Linked DNA regions of Arabidopsis thaliana. The protein of the gene in region 3 interacts with the protein of the main gene of each other region in a pairwise test. Each region holds a gene or a part of one and is shown on either strand. Other genes may lie near its edges.

Evidence for each region.
Region 1: the proteins of APL (region 3) and AT5G66770 interact in binary tests that used the Arabidopsis thaliana proteins (3 or more experiments, as listed by UniProt).
Region 2: the proteins of APL (region 3) and HAM3 interact in binary tests that used the Arabidopsis thaliana proteins (3 or more experiments, as listed by UniProt).

What each region holds. Positions count from the first base shown.
Region 1 is NC_003076.8:26,658,406-26,662,165, reverse strand, and holds the start of AT5G66770 (GRAS family transcription factor), read right to left. Parts: upstream 1,856-3,760; 5' UTR 1,444-1,855; coding exon 1-1,443. UniProt on the Arabidopsis thaliana protein: Probable transcription factor involved in plant development.
Region 2 is NC_003075.7:57,774-61,533, forward strand, and holds the start of HAM3 (GRAS family transcription factor), read right to left. Parts: upstream 1,723-3,760; 5' UTR 1,333-1,722; coding exon 1-1,332. UniProt on the Arabidopsis thaliana protein: Probable transcription factor involved in plant development.
Region 3 is NC_003070.9:29,877,163-29,880,922, reverse strand, and holds APL (Homeodomain-like superfamily protein), read left to right. Parts: upstream 1-1,643; 5' UTR 1,644-1,787; coding exon 1,788-1,962; exon of another isoform or gene 1,963-2,052; coding exon 2,053-2,129; intron 2,130-2,265; coding exon 2,266-2,332; intron 2,333-2,461; coding exon 2,462-2,528; intron 2,529-2,614; coding exon 2,615-2,657; intron 2,658-2,754; coding exon 2,755-3,402; 3' UTR 3,403-3,695; downstream 3,696-3,760. UniProt on the Arabidopsis thaliana protein: Transcription factor required for phloem identity. Has a dual role both in promoting phloem differentiation and in repressing xylem differentiation during vascular development. Regulates the expression of the transcription factor NAC045 (AC A4VCM0).

The DNA.
Region 1 (3,760 bases), on a different chromosome or scaffold from region 3:
GTTCGGTTCAAGGGATTCGAAAACCGCGGAATAGAATTGAAGCGCGTTCTTTACCCGGTTAGCGAAACCGACCCGGTTTAAGCTCACTTCGTATTCTCCGAGAGTGACGACCCTCGGGTTCAACGATTTGGCGAGCCGTAGTGCGGTGTCAACTATCGTCGGCGTCTCGTCGAGTAATTTGTAGAGCTGGAGCATGAAATTCACGGCCAGTACTTCATCCGGGTCGACCCGGAAACTTGACCCGTTAAGTAAATGTATGGGAGTGAGAATTGGGATGAAATCGAAATTCAGATCCAGAACCTTGGCGAAATCACGGAGGCGGTTTCCGGTGGCGATTAACGACGGTTCCGGAGATTCACCGAGAGATGGAGCGGGTATACCCGAGACCCGGATTTGAGTGGGTTTACCAGAAGTACGAGTAGCTAGAGCTTGAAGAAGAGCAGGCCATTGTATACCTTGAACGATTCCAAAATCGACGATGTGAATCTTGTTCGACTTCTCCGTCGCTTCTAGAATCGCTTGATTCGCCGTCAAATGTGCGAATTTGGAGTAAGGACAAGCGTCGTTTAGGGTTTTATAAGATAAGATTAAATCCTCCGTAGATGAAGAAGAAGACGACGTCGCCGGCGAATTAGGAGACAGTCTGTTGGAGAGAGCTTCCGTGAAGTAAAATGCAACTCGCTCCGTCGGATCACCTAGCTCCGATACAGATTCTCGGATCTGAAGAAGCGTCTTGGAAGCTTCGTTAGGGTCAGAGTCTGAGATCCGTGCACAGTCGTATATAGCTTTGAGGAGAGGTGGTTCTAGGTCGAAGTCATCGTCTTCGGAGTCGTTAGTCTCTGGATCTTCTTTGGTTGGTGACTCATGAGTAAGCGGAGGAATCGATAATGGCGAAGAAGGAGGCCACAAGGTCGGCGGAGGAAGCGGACTCGACGTGTCAATGACTCGGTTTAGATCTGACGGTTGGACACTGAGTCGACTCGGGTAAGTATCGAATGGATCAGGACCGTAGATTACGTAATCGGGATTATCATGCCAGGTGTCACAATCAGGACCGTCTGCAACGGAGTCTCCACCGCTGATAAGAGTCTCCATCCACTCGTCGGACTCAAACTCGCCGCCGCCGGTTCCACCGCCGAAATCAGATAACCTGAACCCACCGCCGGTGGTTGTGGCGTGGTGGTGGTCTAAGTTAGGAAAAGGAAAGCCAGGATCGTTGGAATCTCCGCCGCCGGTAACTTGAAACGGGTCGGGAAAAGCCGAACCTGAAAGCCCAAACCCGAGGGAAGTATTGGGCCATGGGTTAAGAGACAAAGGATTAATACCAAAAATCTGATGGTCTTGATGATGTTGCTGCTGTTGTTGTTCTTGTTGCTGCTTCTGTTTGATGACTTGTTGAGCAATAGCCATTAGATTGCCACTATCAGTGCACATGTAAGCCATTCTTAACGCCTAGATCTAACCCTCCCGGCGGTCTATAAAAACCACTGCCAAACATGCAGATTTGCGGTCACTGAAGAAGAGGATGATGACCAGAGAGAAACGGCGGGATCTCAAGCTTTGGATTTTAGAAGAGAGAGAGAGGTAAAGAGAGGAGAAGAAAGAAAGGTCAGCCCTAGAAAGTGGATCAACGTTTGATTAAAATCTGACCGTCTGATTTCATTGTGGGTCCACACATTTTTCTTTGTTATTTTTAAGACAATGATATTTGTAACGGTAATAATACCGATATAAACACACCACATCTCTTAACCAATAACATATTTATGCATACATTATAGAAATCATTGGATCTAATTCCAAATTGTTAGTCTCCTAAGAAAGAAATAGAGAGATATGTACAAGTTACTCCCACATTAGTTTTTGTGTGTAAGAGAATGTTATCATAGTTTTACATTGTGAACTCGTCATTATCGATTCATCCGCTAACAAGTTTCTGAATTTGAGTTCACAATGTTGTGTAACATTTTTTAAAGACGATATGACATATAATGGCCGAGGTTGTTCATATTAATGTCTCCGTTTGGGATATAACAATGTAAATTTGTTCACGTGACGCACACTCTCGCGCCAAAACAAAAATTAAACAGATTTTATAATCAAATACTAAAAAAATGTTTGCTAAATAAAGGAATAGAAGATAAAATAAATTAAAGAGAGCTTTTTTGGTGAGTGAAACGCTCAGTGGGAGGAGAGGATATGACGAAGCTATGGGTCCTTCTTCATCACTAGACAAATAAACTCGCTCTTTTCCTTGTCAATATTGATATTACTTCTTTCATGCCTCCAAACTATACCATATTTTCAATAAATTCGTACCGTATATAAATCTGGGTTAAGATAGATGTAAAATATGTTTACAAAAAATGAAATTAACCTAAAGTTTAAGAGTGATGAAGATTCAGAAGACTGAGAAGTGTATGAATGAAAACAAATCTCTCATCCCGCTCTTTTCGAGGGACCCGAGAGGTGGGGTCCACCACTGTCAACGATGACGTCATCATACTGTAGGGTTCCTCATCTCTGCCGTTGATCTCTGTAATGTGTATCTTCTTTCCCATCACAAACTGCTCTTGACTCTCAGTGACTCACCTACCTCCTTAATTATTCATTCATAGATAAATAAATAGATGGTCTTATTTTCATGGTTACCAAACAAATTAAAAGAAGAGTGCAATTGATGTGAAAATTACTTGTTTGTATATATATCCAAACATTAACATCATGATACAATATAGACGCACCATAAAATAATTAATTAAAGTAAGACATAATCTCAAATTGTATTGTCAATTTATTCATTGACAACTTGTTATATATATATGAGACTGTGTGTGTGTTATAATTTATATATAGTTTGTATGAGGGTGACAGATGGGCCCATGGATCAGCCCAATATACATGTAAGTTCTAAAATATGACACGGAAAAGGAATCGCTGGTGGGGCCTTTTTAACTGTTATTGGATCGATCTTGCACAATTGAAGCAACCAATCTTAAAATTAGCTTTTAAAAATTACCCAAAAATGAAAAAAATAAAACAGTATTTCCAAAGCTTTTAAAAAAAATAATCTGGAGTGTTTTTAATAGTAACACATACAGTAAGGGAAATATAATCTGACAGCTTTTCATCTTTTCACATATATAATTAGAATTTTAGAACAATTGAATCCTATAGAATTTAGTTTTTCTAATGTGTGCAACAACCATACTAAGTGCAACGATCACCAAAAATTAAAATGTGAGTTTGTGTTGGATATTTAAAGTATTTTGGTTGAACAGAAAATAAAGAAGGATATAGTTAAAGTATTTTCTTTTTATAAATGATAATTTGCAAATGTGTTTTTTTATATAAAAAAAAGTGAGTGGGAAAGAAAAATATGCAAAAAACAACGTTTTAATCTCTCTGGCTTTTCGACTAACCTCTCTTTTGTGTTGCACTGCACCTTTGTCTCCACGTCAAAATGTCACTCACTTCACTTTGGTGACCCACTTCTTACACATCTCTCTTTCAGTTTTTACATAAAACATACAACAGTCTCTGAATATACAGCACTAGGTGCATAGTGTTTTTCAGATTTCTTATGAACTATATTAACATAAAAGCAGTAGATAAGGTAATTTCTCTACAATTTGGTTAAATTCATTGTGTAAAAAGTAAATAACAACAAGAATTAGTTTTTATTCTAATGAGTTTTTTTTTCCGGGTAAAACTCCATATATTCTAATAAGTTTTGTATGTCTATATATATATATATGAA
Region 2 (3,760 bases), on a different chromosome or scaffold from region 3:
CGAGTGGGCGAGCTGTTGAGAGAAGGGCAGATCCGTCCTCTCGCATCCTCTGTCGGAGCAGACGATGATCGTCGGAGATAGATGCTTCACGAAACGGAGGACCAAAGGGAGGTGCGAGAAGGACGCGGCGGAGATGTTAACGGCGACAGCTTCTTTCTCCGACGAGTTAGGCCACGAGATGGAGCCGAGGAGGTCTAAGCTCAAAACTTGGATGTCAAGGGAGATGTTGATCTCAGAGGCGAAGTGCTTGAGGTTGTCTTGAGTGAAGCCAAGTTCGAGCTGGTCGTGGTTCGCCGGAGAAGCGAAAACGGTGATCTTGAGGGAGAGAGGAGCGGCGTTGTCGCGGAGAACAAGCTCTTGCATGAGGGAAGCCCATTGGCCACCGTAGCCGATATCGAAGTCGATGATGTGGAGACGGTGGAAGCCATGGAAGGACTCTAAGAGGGCTTGGTTGGAGGTAAAGTTGGCGAACTGAAGAACGGGAGAGATCTCTGAGAAGGATTTGTAAGCAGCGATCTTGAAGATGAGGGAATAAGGGTTTAGGGTTTGGGAGACGTTGTGAAGGAGATTATTGAGAGCTTCTTTGAAGTAAAAAGCTGCTCTTTCTAATGGCTTCCCGACGGGAGAAGAGAGCTGTTGATTGAGCCGCGCCAATATCCCCTGAGCTAGACACGTGTCGCTCTCTATGACCTCTGCTGCCTTAACCAGCTGCTCTGTTATCCCCACGGGACCAGGGTTGAGCCGCTTTGCCGGCGGAGGTGTATGGTGGTGGTGGCCGTAGAAGATAGCCGCAGGATTCTGTGTGTAGTGGGTTTGACTTTGGTTGATCAGAAGACCGGAAACATGTGACGGCGGAACAGAGTGGTGGTCTAAACCGAAGCCGGTGTCGACGACTCCGAAACCGGGTGATGAGTAGTCAGAGTCGTGGAAGGTGGGAGATGTTTGGAGAATGCTGTTGAGTTCAAGAGAGGGATCTGTGGAATCTCCCATGATGAGTCCGAGAATGCTCTGTTCGTGGTCATGAGGAACTTGCTCCTCCCAATCACCCAACCCAATGGCTCCGCATTGCTCATCGGTGGTGGCGTCGCCGCCGCCTCCGACGGCGCTGTTTCCGCCGTGAGAGGAAGACACCGTGGAGGAAGAGGTTGGGCTTATGAGGGAGTCCAGAACAGAGGTAGGCTCCGCCGCGGGAACTTCTTCCTCTTCTTCTTCGCCGCCTCTTGCTTTGCGGTGGCTCAAAAGCGGAGACGACGGTGGTTGGGGGAAGGAAGACGAGAAAGAAGAGAAACAAGAAATCCCCTTCCCTTGAAACTCTTCAAAGGGTAAGGGCATTGCAGACGATAAAAAATAGTGTATTTGTCTTCTTGAAGCTCTTCTTCTTCTTCTTCTTCTTCGTTGTTGTGATGTGGTGTGGTGAGGTATATTGGATGCGTGCAAGATATTAAAGTGGCAAAGTGGGCTTCCTCCTTTCTTTTTCTCTCTTATTTCCGTTTCCTATCATTTTGCCTTTGTCATTAACTTAGCTGATTAAACAATTCATCAGCTTCTCTTACACAACATTTTGTTAATCTTTGCTTTCTAATCTTAACTATGTCTTCTATTACAACCCCACTCTTACATCACGCGCGTGGCTTGCAAACTCCTTTCAGTGACATGAACATGATGGTAAACAAAAATACTAAATGTTATGATATATTTTTAAATATTGTATTTGTCTTCTTGAATTACTAGAAACTATTAAAAAAAAAAAACATTTTCCCCATATTTTTGATGTTGTACTGTATATTTAGATGTCATAATACTTGCCCAAAAAAAAAAAAGGATGTCATAATATATTGGGAATGTTTTTGTTTTCTTATAATTTATTTTCATGATTAAAACTTTGTGGCTTGCAAACTATATTTGGGATATTGTTTTGTTTTGTTTTATCTCAAAGGTGCTGTCGTTATTTCCTTTTGTGTGATCTTTGTCCCCAATAGTTTGTTTTAGGGTTTGGACAAGCTTTTGGATCATCTTTATCAAATTAACCACTCAAATCACCCAATCCATTGTACGAGCTAAACCACATATTGCAGTGCTTATATTAATTTGTGTTTCCTTTTTTTTTTTTTTTTTGCTACGGACATAATCTAAATTTATAAATCTAAACAAAGTGGAAACAAAAACTATGTATATATTGGAGTTACATCAAAAATATCTGTTTTGTTTTTCTTGTTTTAACTTAACGAGATACGAATGATCGTCATTATCTGAAACATTCATGTACTACTTATAACAAAGAAGGAGTTATATATATATTTACGTGTATATAAAAACATACTTTCTTTGGTACATCTTTTCGTTTGAAGGAAAAAAGTGATTGAAGATCTGTGAATGATGTTTCTTCTGTGACAAGTTAAATGCACGAGAGATTGAGAAAGAACGAGTGGTAGTCCTTTATTGAGCAGACAATGGAAGTCACCAATCACCATATATATACATATATAAATATATCTACCAATGGAAAACCCTATAATAAATAAATGAATAAAGCAATCAGAAAAAACAACAAGAAAGAGAGGTGGGTAATTGATGAAGACAGATTAAAATCGGACCAATTTTGCAATGAATGGCGACAGTTTCATTATCATGTATTCATGATAATGAAAAAGCATTTACTTTTCTATGCAAACCAATTCATTAGTATAAACAATATCAAAGAAAAAAAAAAAAGTATAAACAATATCAGATTCTGAATCTATCTTTTATATGCGAATTATGACCGCACAAAAAAACACAGAGTTCAGTTTCTTGTATAGTAATTTTTAGTCCCATATTATAATACTTGTTAAGTACCATAAATATTTGATGATTATTGATAGTTAACTTACTTTATATAACAACAAAAAGTTAAAATGTTCATTTTTAAGATTTAATTAGTTTATATGTTCCCATGTGATTTGCTAACAACTACTTCTCACACTTTTCTTTCTTATACAAAATTATTATAAATCTTGAAATGATCGCGAAACTGTATTAATATTATTTCTTATTGACATACATAATACACCAACACATTTTCAAGTTTCATGATATATTAATATAATATTTGGTATATTGGAATACTAAATATATGTGTGTGTTAACTTCGTGAGGGTGAAGTAAGTTACGTGGTGAAAACATGTTCTTTTCTCTCGTCTCAAGGCACCCTTCATCACAAGCAACACACCCAACCCCACTCAATCGGATAGTTCGTATGATGAACAGAATCGTGCTTTGCCATAATTAGAGGAAGAAACAAGTCAGCTAAATATATTAATCTTGTCAAACAATAATTTATATTGAAGGATAACGTGTTAGAGTTTGTATGCATGTAACCATATATAAATGATTGCGTCGTTCATTTTGTATTAGATTTTAGGATGATGATTAGTTAGATTAGACAAAAATTGATCAATTATTATTAGGAGATCACATGGGACTGATAAGGATAAAGAAAAATAGAGAAGATTTCTTCATCTCATTAGAGCCAAAGTAATAATAATTATGATTAAAAAAAAAAAACCAAGATCGGCGGGAAGTAATTAACAATTACCACAATATAAAGTTGGTAAAGGAATTTCCTTATTTCTTTAATCATATACATTTCCTTAAACATAATCTAACTCTCATTTGATCATTGACAACACATTACTATGATTCGACAACAACAACAAAAAAAAAAAAAAAAATTACTATGATCGAATGACACTCCAAAATACAGAAGTCTCTTAGAGCATTT
Region 3 (3,760 bases):
TTCTCCACATATTAATAGTCCGTGTTTATAATATGTATAACTTTAAAAAATTGTTCCATATTCTTATGTTAATTTTTTTGTTTTAATTCAATATTCATTGACTGGTATTGGTCTACATTTTAACATGTACATGCTTTCCCTTAATTAATACTTAATATATAACCTCTAATAAATTTCTGATTCAATTCAAATTTTATTCTTAGATAATATTCTCTCTTTTTTGTGTGTGCATATCAGCCTCAGCCATATTCATTGACTTATTCTTGTTCTATGTAAATATGCTATGGGACCTCCCACTCATATATATTTAGGTTGACCATTTATTTTACATGCATGCAATTGAATTTAGGGGTTAATCTAAATCGTTGCGTATATGAATTATATATGATTTTAGTTTGTATATTGAAAAATGCATCGTCGTTCTATACATAAGCTAGTTTAGTAGCTAATAGGGCAATATTAACAAAGTTGATTTTCTGGTTTGTAGTGTCCATACAAGTAATTTAGTTAATTATCTCGTTTGTTCACCTTTTTGTTTCTTTTTTCTTTTGCTAGCTAGTTAATTGCGGATGTAAACTACATCTTTTACTAATCGATGAATGGAAAACGTTTTTGTCGTAGACAAATATTCCACCGTACCTAACGGTTTTGGATTGCATGTATATAATAAATTTGTTCCAAAAATATACGGTCTATTAATTTATAACGAAGCTCATCATTGCTTAGAATTGTATATTCACCTCATAATTAGCCAAAAAGGTTTACCCTACCATAAATGATAAAATCCCTAGCCTTGTGGAATTTGTTTCGTTAAGATATTTGTATGTATGCCTCCAATTACGATATATGACGATGTAGACAAACTATAAGTCTAGTATACGACTCTCCTCGTGCGGTCTTAATTGAATAGAATACATAGAACTTTAATATATTCACTTTAAAAGTTTATATTTTCCTATAAAGAAAATATTTACAAATCTTTGATTACTATTTACTCCAAATCAAGCATGATTAAGAAAATAGTATATAGAACAATTGTATGATAAATTTGGATTTAAAAATTACTTCTAAATTATAAGGTAGTAAAGAAAAAGAAACCAAAAATATAAGAATAATAGATGTGCAATATCTTTGATTCAGGTGAATTATATTTTAACTTAGATATCTCAAGTCATTTTAATGTTTATATCAGGAAATAAAGAAATAAAAACCATCATGCAACAAATCATGCATATATATTAGATACATCCGTAACCGCTTTTTTTCGTCTTTTTTTTTTGTTTTTTTCGTCGTCACATCCATAACCGTTTTGATATGAGATCTCCGATGTTCAAAATTCAATTTCCCCCAAAGATATCAATTTAATATCTAATATATACTATTATTTTAAGTTTGCGCAGTAATTTAATAATCTGAGACAGACATGATTTACTTAATGTATACGTATAGTGGCTTTTACACACATTTTATATTGAAAGAAATTCAAAGGTATTCAAGCTAAGAGGATAAAAAACACAAATGAAAAAGATAGCGACAGTATCTTTTCACAAAGGAACGTCTGTGTACTAGTCTGAAACTTTAGTTCTCTTCCTTACTAACGATAAAACATATTTAACTAAACCATAATTTATTTACAAACAAAACAAAAAAGACGAGAGAGAGAAAAAAAAGCCGTCATCTGATCTCTTCAAAAACGCATCGTATTCTCTCACATTTTTGCATCACATTCGTTTCTTGAATCCCCTCTTTCAGAGAGAGAAAGAGAGTCAGAGAGAGAGAGAGAGAGAATGTTCCATGCTAAGAAACCTTCAAGTATGAATGGTTCATATGAGAACAGAGCTATGTGCGTTCAAGGCGATTCAGGCCTTGTCCTCACCACCGACCCTAAACCGCGTTTGCGTTGGACCGTCGAACTCCACGAGCGTTTTGTGGACGCCGTCGCTCAGCTCGGCGGCCCCGACAGTATGAACACACATACACAAATATATATTCAATCCATTTAACCAATTATAAATGTGTTTTTTCAAAGTTTTTGATCATTTCTATTTGCAGAAGCGACCCCAAAGACGATTATGAGAGTTATGGGTGTGAAGGGTCTTACTCTTTACCACCTAAAGAGCCATCTTCAGGTATGTACACAAATATAGATTAGGGTTTTTTTCTTCCTTGCTTTTAATTTTCTCTCCTCTTTATCTTTTCTATTCTTTTTTTCACTTAATAATATAATATAATAATCTAACAACTTATTTGGATCTATGGGTGCAGAAATTCAGGCTTGGAAAGCAGCCGCACAAGGAGTACGGAGATCACTCCACAAAGGAAGGTTCAAGAGGTGACCACTCTTCCTTTCTCTATCAAATTAGGGTTTTTATAAAAAAGTTACCCATAATATAGATATGTATTAATGTATATATATGTTCTTTGATCCGTCTTCTTCTAATTTTTTTTACCGTACGTGTAGCTTCTGCCATGGATATTCAGCGCAACGTAGCTTCTTCTTCTGGCATGATGAGTCGCAACATGAATGAGTAATATTTTAATCAGATTTCGTTAATTTTCTCAACTTTCATTTTAATATATATTACAGCAACTCACACCAGGTTGGTTTGATCAGGATGCAAATGGAAGTGCAGAGAAGGTTGCATGAACAGCTAGAGGTAATTAATTAACCTATAGATATTCTATGATAACTGCTTGTACAAAATCAATTTGTATCCCATAAATATAGTAAATGATTTCATTCAATTTTTATAGGTGCAAAGACATCTGCAACTGAGGATTGAAGCACAAGGAAAGTACATGCAATCTATCTTGGAGAGAGCTTGCCAAACCCTAGCCGGTGAGAACATGGCAGCCGCCACCGCAGCAGCCGCCGTCGGAGGAGGATACAAGGGTAATCTGGGAAGTTCGAGTCTTTCAGCAGCGGTGGGCCCACCTCCTCATCCTCTTAGTTTCCCGCCGTTTCAAGACCTAAACATCTATGGAAACACAACCGACCAAGTCCTCGACCATCACAACTTCCATCATCAAAACATAGAGAACCATTTCACGGGTAACAATGCTGCAGACACCAACATTTACTTGGGGAAGAAGCGACCTAATCCTAATTTTGGTAACGATGTAAGGAAAGGACTATTGATGTGGTCTGATCAAGATCACGATCTTTCCGCAAACCAATCGATCGATGATGAGCATAGAATTCAGATACAGATGGCTACACATGTCTCCACGGATTTGGATTCTTTGTCGGAGATCTACGAAAGGAAATCAGGTTTATCAGGTGATGAAGGGAATAATGGTGGGAAATTACTGGAAAGGCCATCGCCTAGGAGATCACCATTGAGTCCTATGATGAACCCTAATGGTGGATTAATACAAGGAAGAAACTCGCCATTTGGGTGATACAATTTATTAATTTTTATCTATGAGTGATGCATGGGAATGTAAGAACGAGATATATATGTTTTGTCATTGTGAGTTTGACGTAGGGTTTAGAGATGAGACAAAACAAAACAAAACAAAAAAAAATAAAAAATATATAAGCTTTGTTATGTTTACCGGATTAGTTTTGCTCGTGTTTTATAATCTGTACGGAAACTATATATTATTGCTGTTCTTATAATATTTTAGGATCTATATATTTTGTACTTATTCGTTACTTATTTCTTCTAGTCAACTGTTTGATGATTGATCTTTACATTGTTAGTCTCAGTAGAATTGCCGAATATATGTTTTGTTATTCTTTTATCACCCACATAAA